3 linked regions of the Arabidopsis thaliana genome follow. The protein of the gene in region 3 interacts with the protein of the main gene of each other region in a pairwise test. Each region holds a gene or a part of one and is shown on either strand. Other genes may lie near its edges.

Region 1 (6,160 bases), on a different chromosome or scaffold from region 3:
TCTAATATATGTAATTTAGTATATTTAAAAACCAATAGCTATAATACTTTTAAAACAAATTTTTAATATCTAATATATATAATATATACCCTGTACAAATTCAAACTTGAAAATTTATGTTATACGCGTCAAGAAAATTCAATGGAACTAAAACGAATAAAAAAGATAATGAAAAATGGCAGTAGGGACATACGAAGAATTGAATTAGGTTGACCCATTAAAAGAAGATAACAATAATTGATCTTAATAGTAGATAATAGGCTAAGAAAGCAAAATGGTAAAATGGTCGTTAATTGATGACATGCATGTGGGTATTGAATGTACAGATCAACGTACTTCTATTCGTACCCAACTCCAACACACACTTGTTCAGTGCCAACCATTCTTCTCATATCTTCCCTCCATTCATTTTCTTGTCGGTCCTTATAATCTTTCCCTCAAGATTTTCCTTGTTACTTTATAAATATATTATTTTGTGTCTATCCATTATTATGAATATAATGCAAGAGGGTCTCATCACTACCAGCAACTAATAATCAACGAATAGATGGTGTTATTAAATTTTGTCCTCATATATATATTTGGCGATCTTAAAATTTATACATGTTCCAGCGAATGGTCGAAATCTGATCAGTACAACCTTCAAATGATCTTTTGCGGTGGAAGCCAACTCATTTTAACACACTCGTGGCTTAACAAGATCAAAACATTATATTCTGTTTTATAATAGTTTCTTTTGAGCTTTAATAATTACTCTTCTTTCCCAAAAGTTTCATAATATTTCTTTGCAATAACTCCGGCAAACAATTCTTATTTGTTAAATAGTAAAAGTAACACGTTGACAAGACAAAAAATGATTATTCCCTACATTGTAAGTGTAAAACACCAAAGCACAACGAATAAAATAAAATAAAAGTTTCTTAGCCGTTTGTGTTTTTCTTTTCCCAAAAGTTTATATTAAGTGTCAAAGTACAAGTTAATTAGTTCTAATCAGCTGAACACAACTATACATATACACATTAAACTGTCATTTAGTCTTAAGTGTTTGACATTGGTTAATTCTAACTCAAAATTGCTGAATTCGTAGCATTAATGAACCCCAGTTTTGTGTTATGTACAGAAAATATTGACTCGTGGCGTGGGGGAAACAAAGACTTTAACCAATGTCCAATGACAATTGTTTGTGACACTAGGCTATAAATATTTTAGGCCCAGTGGGCTTCGTTTTATTTTCCCATGTAAATGTTTATTAATCAAACCTAGAAAACCAAACGGCTAGGATTAAGTAAGCCCAAATTAAAAGTTGAGGCCCATACAAAGAGAACACAAAAGAAACCCTAAGGAACTTGTAACTATATAAAAGCTCCGACTTCGATTCGGCGTCTCTTTCCTTCACCTGAGCGGACGAAAACACTCAAGCTTGCAGAGATCTTTCACTTTAATCCTTGAGAAGTAGCAAAAATGGCTGAAAAGGCGGTCACCATCCGAACCAGGAAATTCATGACCAACAGACTTCTCTCCAGGAAGCAGTTCGTGAGTTCCATTATTTTTTTTCTCTTCTCTATCTGCATATCATTTTTGTTCTTCTGGGTTTTGTTTTAATGGGAATCTAGTTATAATTTGATATGAACCCAATCTCGAGAGAATGCATTCGTTGTCTCGTCAAATTTTTATAATTGGGGTTTGATGTTTTAGGTCAGGCTTTCAGATTTACGACCTAATGTTAAAGCATAGATAGTGTTTAGATCATATAGTATTGATCTGGCGCAATTTAGTTCCGTTTGAGATTTTGGAATGAAATTCTAAGTTATGGTGGATTGTTGAAAATATAGGTTATTGATGTTCTTCACCCTGGAAGAGCCAATGTTTCAAAGGTTTGTTCTTTACTCACTTTGTTACTTCATCTATTTCGAGTTCTGATAGACTATGAGAGGTTCTAACGGGAGAGTTGGTTTTATTTTTGCAAGGCTGAGCTGAAGGAGAAGCTAGCAAGGATGTACGAGGTCAAGGATCCAAATGCAATCTTCGTATTCAAATTCAGAACCCACTTTGGAGGTGGTAAATCATCCGGGTTTGGTTTGATCTATGATACTGTTGAGAGCGCTAAGAAGTTTGAACCCAAATACAGACTTATCAGGGTAAATGCTTTTTCCACTCTTGTTTCCATTGTTATATATTGCTACTCACATTGACCCGTCTTAAATCATTACTCTTGCTCATTACTGTTTGTCTGAAAATTATAAGCTATGTGATAAGTTTCGGACTTTATATCGTATTGCACTTGGTGTTCTCTGCATCTTTATACTTAAACATGCTTTGTCTATGTGGTTGGCAGAATGGACTTGACACTAAGATTGAGAAGTCAAGGAAACAAATTAAGGAAAGGAAGAACAGGGCGAAGAAAATCCGTGGTGTTAAGAAGGTATGTATACTGGTTTTCCCTCTTGCTATCTTCTGTTTTTGATTGTGACTGTAGCTTTAAGAATCTGTTTTGATCAATGTTTGCAGACAAAGGCTGGTGATGCCAAGAAGAAGTGAGATCCTGAAGAGAGAATCTTTATCTTGTGGGTTCTTGTTCTCCATAATCAATCACCTTTTATGTTATTTGTCCGCTGTTAGATCGTTTCTCCAACTAGACATGTTTACTGAAATCTGAGATTTTCGTTTATTTTTGTTTTGGTCAGTTTATGTTTTGAGTTTAGAGAAACATATGATCCAAGGTTTTTGTTCAATACAACTATTTAATCTCTCTCTCGTCTCTTTCCACCATTCCCATGCGCAGCAGATATAAGCATTTTCTTGTTCCTTAGGTGATTTAATTCTTGATCGGTTACTCGTGCGGCTGTGTTTGATTGTAAACGTGAGTCTCTCTGGCTATTATCGATGTTATTTACCCACATATAATGAAAATTTACTTAGATCATAATTATGAAATCTCGCAAAGTTTCTAATTTATTATATCACTTTTGCTCCTTACTATTTTAATGGAAAAACTGTGATAATTACATGTCAATCACTGAATTTGAACAGTAATTATAATTTTCTATACCGCACAACATATGCTTATTTTGGTTTTGGGTACTGTCTTATTAGTTACATACGGTTTAGGTTGGCTTGTTTGTTTGTTTTGTCCTAGCTAATCACGTTAATGAAAACGCTCTACCAAATAACCGCGTTTAGAAAACGCTATTAGTTACCGAGTGTGGTTGGGACCGAGTGAGGACGTCACGGCTCCAACCAATCCGCAAATAAGGAAGCGCGTGTGTGTAAGTAGTGGGTGACCACTTTGCCTAGTCTTAAACGTTAAGTCTGGAAATACCAAAACTACCCCTGGTTTGGTCGAAGATTCTCACGCCCCTACCACCCAACCCAATCACAATCCTCGTGAACGAACACACCACCTTCTCTCCAATCTGGATCTGGTTCCTCTTCTTCTTGGTCTCTTCTCCATCTCATCGGAGCTGATCTCGAATTGTTCTCCGTTCATTTGTTACGGTGGAGATGACATCGGATCACCGCGACGCTCTTTTCTCTCTGGAACTGGAATCGCCTGATCCGGACGAAGGAGGTGTAGCAGACGGAGGAGAATCTGATACCGACGAGGATTTGCGCGACAACGATGATGTTGTTATGCCGGGAACGAACGAAGCTGAAGCTGAAGACGACGATCCCGAAGAGGAAGATCTCAATTCTCCGTCTACATCATCACTCCCCATGGTTTCTACGATCTCAGCGACTGCTGTTGTTTCCGGGACCCCGACGGCGACTTCCTCTACAGGCGCCGTGACCGTTGCACTTCCGGCTGGATCCGCCGTCCCTGTCTCCGTGATTCCCGTTGATTCCGATCCGAAGTGGCACCGTATGACGGAGATCGTCCATCAGAGACCACCGATCGATGATTCTAGACGCCTTTTCCAGAGGCTGTGGACAGACGAAGACGAGATCGAGCTTCTTCGTGGTTTTCTCGATTACATGACGATGCACCGCGGAAGCAGCTCGCATCCGCCGGATACGGCGCCGTTTTATGAGCAGATAAAGTCGAAACTTCAGCTGGATTTCAACAAGAACCAGCTGGTGGAGAAGCTTCGGAGATTGAAGAAGAAGTACAGGAATGTGATGAGCAAGATCAGCTCTGGTAAAGAGGTATTCTTCAAGAGCCCTCATGATCAGTCTACTTTCGAGATTTCTAGAAAAATCTGGAACCAAACTGGGAAAATCATAGGCTTTGAAGATAACAACGTAATGGATTTCGAAGAAACCAATAACCATCATAACACCACCAATGGTAACTACTCAACCTTTAACAGCCCTAGTTCTAATCCTACTCTGGAGCTCGACTCCGAAAATGGAATCGAGAAGAAATTGACAATGAGTAGCAGTAGCGTGTCGAGAAAACGATCACGATCAAGAATTGGGAAGATTGAGGAAGACAACAAACCTGTCATCACTCCCTCTGATGGGCCAATAGCTAGCAATGTCAACCTCAACGAAGCTGCAGCTGTTGGTATTGGAGGAAATCTCGGGGGTTTGATCGAAGAGACTGTGAAAAACTGTGTCTCTCCTGTGATCAAAGAGATGATGAATGGGACAACAAGTATGATGATGGCTGCAATGGGAGGAGGGTTTCCGGGTCTTGGTGGTGGTGGTGGTGGTGGTGGTGGTCATGGTTTTGGCTCGCTAAGCCCCATGTTTACACGGCCGTTCAATTTCGGTTTTGGTGTAGAGGGAGGAGGAAACAAGGCGGTTGCAGATGAGCGGTGGAGGAAACAACAGATTCTGGAATTGGAAGTGTATTCAAGGAGATTAGAGTTGGTTCAAGAGCAGATTAGAACGACATTGAACGAGTTAAAGACGATGCCGAGTGGTATATGATGAAGGGCGAGAAGAATAAGACAACAAGGAACCATTTAGGTTGATATTTGATATCTTTGAGTTAACCTTCTGGTGTGTGAGTGAGTATAGTAAGAGATTTGGATCTTTTTAAGTTATAAATTGGTAAGGTATTGTGATCTTTCTCTAGGTTTTTTCATCATTTTGATTTTTTTTTCTTCTTCTTATCTTTAAATTATTTGTCAATAGGGATGAATCATAGGAGGGGGGTTTGTGTATAACCTTTTGTATTAGATTATAGTTCTTTTTTCGTAGAATCATTTGTTCAATAACAAACAGACTTTCTAGCTGTTTTTCTTTCAAAAAGAAGAAAAATAATAATTCTAAATTGTGTGCTACTCTTTCTTTGTCTAATAAAATCTGTAATAACATGTTTATTTCTAGATCGGATACTGTTATTGAAGTGTATTAAACTTTGACCTCTTTCTTTATCATGTTGATTAATGTAGTTACTTAAAAACTTTTGTGTTTGAAAAAAAGAACCAATGTTGTGTTTCTTGCTAGTACGCATCAGAAGATTCCTTTCCTGATTAAGTAAAAAAAAAAAGGCATAATCAAAACAATTTAAAGATTCAAGAAGGCAGAAACTTGTCCACGTGACGAGGCAAAGAATGTTAGGTAGGTTTGTTATTGACTTTATAGTTTATACAATGATTTTAACAAAATACCTATGGAAGATACATGATTATTTTTTATAAATGTATAAACGAGTGGATATATTTGGTGGTGGATGATGGTGTGTGTGTATATGCAAATAATTCACTTTATAAAAGCTTATCGCTAATTTGACAGAACACTAGAACAGTTCTCTCTTTTTGTCGACAGTCTTCTTCTTCTTCTTCTTCTTCGATTGGATCTGGAACTGGTAAGCTCTTCTATAAGTCTCTGGTTTTGTATCTTTCGAACTGTTCTTTTGTTTCTCTCTCCAAAAATTTCAAACTTTCATAATTTCGCCTCCTCAAGTTCGATTTCAGCTCAAGAACACGAATGCTTCACTCACTTGTTTCATTGTTAAATCTTATATTTAGTTTGATACTCATGTTTTCTGCTGTTCGATTTTTTTTTTTCTCTGATTTATATTCGAGTTTGAACTTAAATCATGGTTTTGGTTTCACTTTACAATTTTGGATCTCATGCAGTTTCAAAACACTCTTCGATTTATATGAATGTTTTATATTATTAGGGACATTGCTTGCAGACTGTGTCTTAAATCTTTTTGATTTTCTTGTGATCTTCAGAACTCAAATTGGGAAGAATTTTGACATGGAGG
Region 2 (4,879 bases), on a different chromosome or scaffold from region 3:
GAGCATTAGTTTATTCACTAGAGAAAAGGAAAAGAATTTGCACCGCCAATTGCGACGAAGGTGGTATATACTTCTCCGGCGAACGTGATTCTCTGTAAAATTCTGACGAGATTTTTTTCTGGCGTTGTTGCTAATGGATAAAATTGCGCGCGCAAAGGTCCTTTGTCCGATTGGAAAGAGAATACATTTGAGGATTAAATTGATAATTTCGTAATAGTTTAAGCCCTTAAAGGAAATAAAAAGCTGTAAACTCCTGAAGTTTTATTTATTTATAGAAAACAACTCTTTATATATTTGATTTCCAAATAATCCCAAAACCTTGATCATATGCACATAAGAACCCTATTAGAAGAGAAATGATTTTTTATTACTTGGTTCACATAATGAAAAAAACATACTTGAAAACTAGTCATTGGCGTTCGGTATTTTGGTTCAGTTCCGGTTCGAGAACTTCCCATGAGCCCTTTTGTAGTCTAAAAATCTATAATCTTAAATTGTGTTTTATTAATATTATTATGTTTTTATGTAATATTAATAACCTTTACCCTAGAAAAACTAATATTATTTTCTCAGTTTTATTATATTAAATTGTGTTTTTCAATTTCATATGTTATCAGACTTATATTATTATGTAATATTTTTTTACAATTGGTTGAATTGTTTAGGTTAGATATTAATTTCTGTTTTTAATATAACAAAATTATTACATAATAATTCTTGCAGTTTAGCTAAAACATCTAATAAGCTGAAGAGACAGAGTCATTTACAATTCATCAAAAAGAAAAATTGTTTTTGAAATCTTTTGATCGACAAGGCCTATCTATAGAATTGTGGATGTGTTTTGGGAAGGCATTATAGAAAATTTGTCTCATGTGGTGGTAAATGTTTTGCTGAATAAGTAAATAATAACCTTGGTTAAACTTTAAACAAAAAAAAAAGTTAATAAATAACCTTGGCTAAACAAATGTGTATAAGTTTCTGAAATTTAAAATATTATGTTCGTGATCAAGAACAGAAAACTGATGATCTTATAGGACATAACTACTTAATACATTATACATCTATAGATTGTGTATGTGTCCGTATTATACATAAAATCTCATGTATCTTTACATCAAACTTCAAATCTAAATACAAAAACAAAAAGAACATCACTAGAGATGGATCTCTCGTCGGACAAAACCCCGAAGTTTCGTCTTTCACGGTCAACTTTAGTCAAACTCCGATCCGAATCAAACCAAAAAGGGTTTTTCATTCATCGATCATAGTCATCATCTCCTTTTTAGACAAAAGATTCTCAGCTTCTCTGGATCATAAGGAAGAGTCTAGAGCAGGAGCGTCGGATCCCTTCATGATTCTGAGTCTCTTACAAGAAGAAGAGAACATGTCCCATGGAACATCACCAACCAACATCCAGTCACCATCTTTATCTTCGTATGTTGGTACAAATCCAGATCCTTTGTATCCTTCTCTCTCACAATATTCACCAATCATGACTTTGAACATATTCTCTAACGCTTTGAGAAGCTCGGGGTAGTTTTTGTATGTCTTGAGATCGATCTTGCGAAGGTAAGGAGCTCCGTCCATACTCACTTTCACGTAGCTCACACTGTTGTTGTTCTTACGGGAAGATCTCACTGGTGGCCAACCAACGATTTGAGTTCTGTAAATTTGAGGAAAGAAAGATTAGTAAAACTATTCAAGAGCCAATAATTTGAAAGAAGCCAATTTGAAACTCAGATCTCTTCTACTTACTTGGTAGGAGGTGTAGATTCTTCTTCATCACGAGTTTCCTCAAATAGACGCTTGTTGTTACTTTTAACGCAAGAAACCTCTTGTTCTTCTTTGATCTTCTCTGTTCTTCCGGGTAATCCAAGACATAGCTCTGTGTCCTTAAGGTTAAGCTCGTTGACTTTCTCGTACGCCATTGCTTTTGGATCAATATCAATCTTTGTGTTTCCTTCTTGTGTGTTTTCTTGGGTACTTTGTTCTTCTTGTCTTGTTCTTCTTCTTCTTGTTCTTGTTCTTGGTGAGCTGGTTGATGAGTTTTGGAGAAAAGGGGAGAGAGATATATATAAAGGAGCATCGAAGTTAGGGTTAAAGGAAGAGAGAGAAGTGTTGTCGGAAGCATGAAAGGCAAGAAAGAGGCAAGGGGACAAAAGTGGGACACGAAGCTTGAGGCCGCCCATGTGGACACGACTCTTTTGTTTAATTATTCCACGCTCCTCTTTTCCCTCCGCCAACTTTGTTTACGTTAACATCTTAGCCGTCCATCTCTATTGCCTCTTCTTTTTCTTTCAAAGGATGTATAATAATTATAACGAAAGAATATAAAAATGAATGAAATGATGAGAATTCTATCGGCCGACCCGGAATAAAAGCAAACAGAGAAAATATAAATAAAGTAAAGACTAAAGAGGTGTATTATAATAACATTTATTTACTGTTTCTTAAAGGTTTCTTCTTCTCTTTTTGAAAGTGTATAGTGCAGGTTATAAAGAAAATATCAAGTGCTAATGATTGTTAATCCATTTGTTGCATAATAGATATTCTTAATATATATTTAAATATAATGTGTTGTCTTAAAATTTGATGTGAAAGTTGATTATTATTTTTAGTTTACTTCTATTGATTTATTAATTTTTAACTTAAAAGATTAATAGATGTTTTGAAAGTATGATGTAAAAATTTCGATTCAGAAGAAAAAACGTATGGTGTAAAAAATGGTTAAAAGGACACTTATGTCAAATAAAGTACTATTTTATTGAATCCTGATTCCAAAATGAAGATTATTTAGAGTTTCCAAGTACTCTTATGTGTTACGAACTATTGAATGTGCATAAGTTGAATTTTATCATTTTTGCTCGTAGATGTAATTTGATTAATAAAGAAATATTAGTTTTATGGTTAAATCTCAGATAATATCGAATATTAAACGTTACATATTTGTCTTGCGAAGACATATTTATGCGTGGCATTTTGTATATTGTGAGTTGGAAAATGTTATAACATTTTGTGTGTAGATTTTGATTTTATAATAGGAGACGAAGACCCATGTGGATAAGGGTCAAATGTGTTGGTAATTGATAGAGGAATGGTAAAGCCATGTGCTTTCTTATGTGTATGTCTCTTTTAATTATTCATTTCCCTTCAAAATGGGTTGTGGGGGAGAGAGGTTCCACGTGCTATGTATTCATTGAATCATAAAACTTAAAAGAATGAACCAAAAAGTGGTAATTAATTTCTCCCCATAGATTACGCTTAACTATGTGCATTTAGCTTCTAATCCGCATGCGATTTGATGTTAACGTTAGGCTTTATTCAATGGATTTACCAATTTTGGATATTATTTGTTTTCTCTTCTTTTAAGATAAAGATTCCTTCTATGTTCTTGCCCCTTCCATCACCAAAAGATTAGATAAGTAAAAGCGATGCAAGATACGTTGCCTCTCTTCTTATAAGTAAATAATTTAGAGGTTCTGATTGTCAGAGTTTTATGTATTATTTCCAGTTAATAACGAACTCATGCAATGTATTTTCTCACAAACTGAGAGATGCACGAATGAATACCATTTGTCTGTTAAATATTGCACGAATGAATACTAAAGGTTAACCATTTACAGATTTCTAGAATCACTTAACATGGTGGGAAACAAACTTCTTGAGAATAGTTTTTTCCTGTTTGTGTGTTCATGCATGTTTTAGTCTTAGTGAAAATGTATTATAGAAACATAACTACTAGATCTATGTGATGCTTTATGCTTATATAGATGATTGCTAAAGTTATTTGTTGGTTAAACTAAACCTTTTTACTGAAAACCATTTAAGAAAGTACAAGAGAATTCAGTTACTGTTTATTATGGAGTTAATTCCATGAATATATATTGAACATTAAGTTTTGCCTAAAAAACAATATTGAACTTAAGCCAAATACATAAATCATTTTTAGATTATTTTGGTCTCTGTGGTCAATTTAATGTATTAATTTATGTACTGAATCAACAGTTGTTTGTTCTTTTATGTTAATATTTGATATTTTTTACTCTACAAGGACTACAGATTCTGATGACAATTTTAACGTACATATCTTGAAGAGGTACGTGAATAACTATATGAACTAGCTAATAGATTCTTAATTTTTTTTGGTTAGAAATATTAACCGTGTTTTAATTATCATGGTAAAAATGTTAATTATTTTCTACTTTAATTTCTCGTTTATTCAAAAAAAAAAAGTATGTCATATATGAACAATTTTGAAATTTAAATATAGTATGTTTTACTTGATTATAGTTTCATACCAAAACATTAAAATATTTTTGAGAATTTTAATTTAATATCTGTAAAACGTAGTTTAGTATGTTTGACATGACTATAGTTTCGTTCCAAAACATTAAACTAATTTGAATGTTCTAACGAATTCAAAACACATATAGGCACCCAAAACAAAAAAAAAACATGTTATTATAAAGATGATGGAAATAATAATATAATGCTACGTTTGAAAGAAAACGAGTAAGTTAAAGATGAGGAAGAGGAATGATATGTCGAAACACACAACTTGTCTTGTGATGCATACACAAGCTACACTCCAAAGAGTCGTGTCTTTTGCAAATCACATTCGTGTGTAGCTCAAAAAAGTTGGCTCTTTAAATTATTAAAGTTTGTGTGTTCCTTTTTCGACTCATCCCTATCATCTTATCTCCATTTTCTCTCTTTTTATTTTTCATATATATATATATATATATATATATATATATATATTGATTTTTATTAACTATTAATGTAACATCTCACTTTTACTTATTTAGCCTTGTTTCAATCATCATGTCTTCAAATCAACCGTCCAGAAGATAAAATGTTGTTTTCAAAGTTATTTATC
Region 3 (5,157 bases):
TCTGGTAAACTCAATTCTTCCTTCTAGGTCAATCTGAAATTTTTAATCTTTTTGTGACCCTTTTGAAATTTTTGCATTTGGTACCCTCTAGATCTCTGCTAATTACATGATACGCTGGTTTGGACTATGCTTTAGTTACTTACGAATTGTAATCTTTTGGGTTCTGTCAGATGCACCAACTTGATTTTGCTTTGATAATATTGAGTCAAAGCTTGTTGCTTTGTTGTGGTAGTGGGCTCAATCTAGCTTGGCGTGTGGATTTACATTTGTGTCTGTTGGATTTTAAGTAACAGCAAGATGAGATAGTGAATTAGGATAGTATAAGCTAAGTAAGCAATCAAGTATTCATCTTTTTTTTTTTGGTTTGATTTGGTTGTAGTGTAGAGTGTCTTTGTTTCTTTTAGTTTTAAAGCTGTTGGTTTCTTGTGTGTTTTAATAGATTATCAACATTTGAACTCCCTCGCATTGTAGAACTCACAGAGGAAAGAGTAAGGAAGCAAAGGACTCATTTTTTTTATGATTGTTGTTTTGTTTGCAGCTTATAATGCTACTGTGGAGTTATTTCTCTGTTGTTGTGACGGACCCTGGTGGTGTTCCAACGGGTTGGAGGCCAGAATTAGACATAGAGAAAAGCGAGGGAAACCAAGCTTTGATTGGAGAAGCTTCGGTTGGAGATTCCTCGTCTCATGGTGTAAGATATTGTAGAAAGTGCAATCAATATAAACCGCCTCGTTCTCACCATTGTTCAGTCTGTAAGTCTCTTCAATGAGTGATTCTTTTCTTTGAATCCGGTATATGTGTTTTTTAGTAGTGAAAAAGTTGTCATATTGGGTTTTCAGGTGGAAGATGCATACTAAAGATGGACCATCACTGTGTTTGGGTGGTGAATTGTGTTGGTGCAAATAACTACAAATCATTTCTCCTATTCTTGGTATGTCAACTTATCATAGCATCGCTGAACGAAGTTGTTTTTGATATGTTCTGTTCATTAATGTTGCCATGATCATAATCCATTCCCAATATCTCAAAAATGCAGTTTTACACATTTCTTGAGACAACGGTGGTTGCAGTATCACTATTGCCAATTTTCCTCGTATTCTTCAGCGATGGAGATGGTGATATAACCGTATCACCAGGAAGCCTAGCAGCCAGCTTTGTTGCATTTGGTGAGTTCAAAGATATAGAAATCTCAGTTTCCGTTTTTGTTTCAGAACACCTTAACGTTACCATCTGATTCAAAAACTTCACTCTCTTGCTTTCCAGTATTGAACATAGCATTTGCCCTAAGTGTCCTAGGCTTCCTAATAATGCACATAATGTTGGTCGCTCGTAACACCACAACTATTGAGGTAAAGCAACAACTCTCACTTGGTTTTGCTCTTAACTTGGGTTCTCTCAGGAATCTCCATGTCAATAAACTCACTGACCAAACTAATGGTTTCTTTAATCTCAGGCGTATGAGAAGCATACAGTGAACTGGCCATACAACGTTGGTCGTAAGACAAACTTTGAACAGGTTCGCTCTCCATCTTCTTTGTTTCACTCGTTCTTCAGTGACTGATTCGTTTCCCCGCTACTTAGATAATATCTTTGACATCGAACACAATGAAAGCTTTAAAAAGTTTGGTCTCTATTCCTTTGTTGAATCAGGTTTTTGGAAGTGATAAAATGTATTGGTTCGTGCCATTGTACACGGAAGACGATAAGAAGAAGTTGCCAGCACTTGGAGGGTTAGACTTTACGAGCAGGTCGGAGTCCGAGACAGAGCCGCTTCAGTCTCTATGACCTTACAAACTTGAAATTTTTGGAAGTGTGTCTTCTGCTTTGTGTATGTATCAATCAAATATTATATCAAACATTGTCTTGTGTATTATAAAGATTAGTGCCTATTGTGGAATTTGTATCTTTTTATTTCGTGAAAAGAAATTTCTCAAACTTCTTAAATATACCATTTTCACATTTGCTTAAATATACCATTTTCATTTTTTCACTATTGATAATAATAACATGTTATTTATCATAAAAAATAAAAAAATCACGACACGTGAATGATGTACTGTAACTATCAAAGATTTGACGTACCACATACTTTCTGTATGTTTTTGATCGAATCAAAAATAATTATTTTTGTCCTTTTTTGTTTTATTGTTATTTTATAATGTAATACTTTTACTAAAATAATTTTTTTTAAAAACTAAATTTCTGGTCTATATAATTTTGGCCAAATATGTACATATTTAAAATCCAGAGTCAACCATTTAACAAACACTTGGAAATTTAATTAATTATTATGCCCTGTTTAGTAGAAAATCCATTAAAAATTACAGAAATGGTCTGCGTGTCGCATTGAACCAATCATATCTCGACATCTGTAAATACAGTTGGAGAAGATTTTTTCTTCTTCTGCTGGCCAAAAAAAAACATTGCATTAAAAAGGGTTCAAAGAAAAATTCTCAAATTCTCTAACAAAGAGCTCTGAGATTTTTGGAAATCTGAATCGTTGTTCGAGGTATGAACTTTTGGATCACTCTCCTTGAATCTGCTCTTTGATTCGATTTCGTACTTGAATTTCGCAATTTTGGAGTTTTCTCTCGCTTCGTTATACTGATCGTTTAGGGCTTGAAATTGAAGGTTTAATGTTACCATTTCCGGCAATGAACTTGAAGAAGTCTCGATCGGAAAACTCATCAGTTGCTTCATCTGGAAGTAAGATTGAGGAGCAGACTGAGAAATCAGCTGAACCAACAACCATTAAGGTAAACCTCACTAAACCTAAACCCGGTTTCAATTTTGCTTTGTGGTCTCTCTTTACCACACAGATCTTATCATTGAATTCTATCTCTTAATTAGGGTTTTAGTTGAGAATCTTAAGGTTTTTTTTCAACCAGTTTCGAAGACTTAGTTACTAGTGTTATTTGACGAACTGATGCAGACATAAAGGTTATAACTTTATTTCTCGTTGTGTCTTTGGCTGATCAGTTATGTATAAAATTTAATCAATATTTATGCTATTTAAGGTTTCGCAGTGACCCTTTTCTTCAAATTTGGTTTTTGATTCTGCATGTTCTCAGTATCACTCTTTTGGTGGTGTCCCTGTTTTGACTTTTGTGTTTCTCTACGCATGTTTTCTCATCTTGCTATATATTAAACGATTTGTAGTATGATTCTGTTGATCCAAGTAGCTTGTGAGTGACTGTTCTTCTTTTCACCGAGATTCCATATTTGTATTGTGCAGGTGCAGAAAAAAGCCGGTACTCCAGGGAGGTCGATAGATGTCTTTGCTGTGCAGTGTGAGAAGTGCATGAAGTGGAGGAAGATTGATACTCAAGATGAGTATGAAGATATCAGAAGTAGAGTACAAGAGGACCCGTTTTTTTGCAAGACGAAAGAAGGTGTGTCCTGTGAAGATGTTGGAGATCTAAACTATGATTCCTCCAGAACATGGGTCATCGACAAGCCTGGCTTGCCGAGGACACCAAGAGGGTTCAAAAGGAGCTTAATTCTGAGAAAGGATTACTCGAAAATGGATGCGTACTACATAACTCCTACTGGGAAGAAGCTCAAGTCTCGTAATGAAATCGCAGCCTTCATCGATGCCAATCAGGATTACAAGTATGCACTGCTTGGAGATTTCAATTTCACAGTCCCAAAGGTGATGGAAGAGACGGTTCCTAGTGGGATATTATCTGACAGGACCCCCAAGCCATCAAGGAAAGTTACAATTGATTGAGCTACATAGCGCTTCCCAGCTTCTTATGGTGTTGAAGTTGTTATTGGAGTCAGTTTTAGGTTTCTATCTGGTTTAGTCTTTTAAGGGTGTCGGACTTCTTACTGTAGAATGTTTCTTAAACTCATCTCTTTGACTCTGATTGGATCTTTATTTTCTAATGAAGGATTATCTTTTCTTCTCTTTTTGTTATGTCACAAGTCACAACTACATGAATCGCTCTGGTTTTCACTCAGTGTGTACAAACAAACACGACAAAGTATATTCAAGCAGCATGTGTACAACTTCTTCTACTCCAAGCGCACCCTCTGCTATAGCGTGCGGTGTGCAAGTCCTCGCTTATGGGCTATTTATCCCATTCAACATTGAGTATTGGTCATAACCTCTTGGGACTGAGAGCTTTATGAAAAGAAGCCTTAAACAATGATTGCATATTTGGGATTTTCAAAAAGAAGACTCACAACATAACTTTATGTATGTTTCCGCTCTTGGGTTTTCTGACCAGCCCTTGAAGCTAGTCCTTTCTCAAGGTTTTGTGTATGTTTCATTAGTTTTTGTTTGTATCTGGAGTCTACCGTTTATTAGAAGTTTAGGTTGCTCCTTCCACCGTCCTTACTCCTTGGTTTAGTTGAATAAGCAGTTTTCTCATGTGGTCTTACTTGGTATGTAAAGGCTAACCTTTTGTGGGCATGCAAAGTTCTAAATTTAGACTCTTTAGGATGAAGATTACATGGCTACAATTTTTGATTCTTATATGTGATTTTTTCTTCTTGTTATTCGTCGTATTTGGGGTCCTTTTTCGCGATTTACATTTGCCTCGAAGACTGCTTGTGAGCTTTTGTAGTTCTGCATCTACTGTTCTTTCCGCGCTTTCTGTTGACTGCGAGTGTGGTTTTCACATTATTTTGTTTGGTGGTAGCATTTTTTCTTAAACTTCGGTGGTTATTTTAAGTTATGTTCAAAGTTTTGTTTGTAATTTCGTGGTTCCGAATGAGTAGCGGCTTGATTATCCGTATTACTTTTGGGTTTGATTTTTCGAATCACTCTCGAGCTTTGTTCCTAATTTATGCAGTTTGTGTTCAACTTGTAACTTTTTTTGTATATGCAATCTAAGATTAATGTTTATAGAATTCATCTTAGATTGCCTAACGATATTTTGAATATGGCTTAAATCTAAGATTTAAAACGTACAAAATCATGCGGAAACTCATTTTGAACGGAAAAAACTCGATTCAACTAATGAACATATAAATTATAGAATAGATAAAATAAAATGGATTTAGAAAAACAGTAGAAAATATTTATAATTTTGCCATGTTTAGAAGAAAATCCATGAGTTTAAGACAATGAGCAAGAGAAAATTACAGAAACGGTGTCGAAGTTAACCCATCAGCCAATCAAACTGCGACTCCTGTAGAAACACAGTTCGA

What was found. Proteins that work in one complex are often made in the same cells at the same time.
Region 1: the proteins of MBD1 (region 3) and AT3G04930 interact in binary tests that used the Arabidopsis thaliana proteins (3 or more experiments, as listed by UniProt).
Region 2: the proteins of MBD1 (region 3) and IAA2 interact in binary tests that used the Arabidopsis thaliana proteins (3 or more experiments, as listed by UniProt).

Annotation. Positions count from the first base shown.
Region 1 is NC_003074.8:1,359,528-1,365,687, forward strand, and holds AT3G04930 (DNA-binding storekeeper protein-related transcriptional regulator), read left to right. Parts: upstream 1-2,969; 5' UTR 2,970-3,501; coding exon 3,502-4,872; 3' UTR 4,873-5,092; coding exon of another isoform or gene 5,093-5,124; 3' UTR 5,125-5,272; downstream 5,273-6,160. Other genes in the region: AT3G04920 (Ribosomal protein S24e family protein), read left to right, coding at 1,462-1,533, 1,833-1,874, 1,968-2,138, 2,336-2,422, 2,509-2,538; CYSD1 (cysteine synthase D1), read left to right, coding at 6,154-6,160.
Region 2 is NC_003074.8:8,179,758-8,184,636, forward strand, and holds IAA2 (indole-3-acetic acid inducible 2), read right to left. Parts: upstream 2,339-4,879; 5' UTR 2,190-2,338; coding exon 1,756-2,189; intron 1,664-1,755; coding exon 1,312-1,663; 3' UTR 889-1,311; downstream 1-888. UniProt on the Arabidopsis thaliana protein: Aux/IAA proteins are short-lived transcriptional factors that function as repressors of early auxin response genes at low auxin concentrations.
Region 3 is NC_003075.7:11,945,994-11,951,150, reverse strand, and holds MBD1 (methyl-CPG-binding domain 1), read left to right. Parts: upstream 1-2,346; 5' UTR 2,347-2,509; intron 2,510-2,631; 5' UTR 2,632-2,636; coding exon 2,637-2,756; intron 2,757-3,235; coding exon 3,236-3,730; 3' UTR 3,731-3,941; downstream 3,942-5,157. Other genes in the region: AT4G22750 (DHHC-type zinc finger protein), read left to right, coding at 1-4, 539-752, 840-931, 1,037-1,166, 1,264-1,349, 1,454-1,516, 1,651-1,785. UniProt on the Arabidopsis thaliana protein: Probable transcriptional regulator.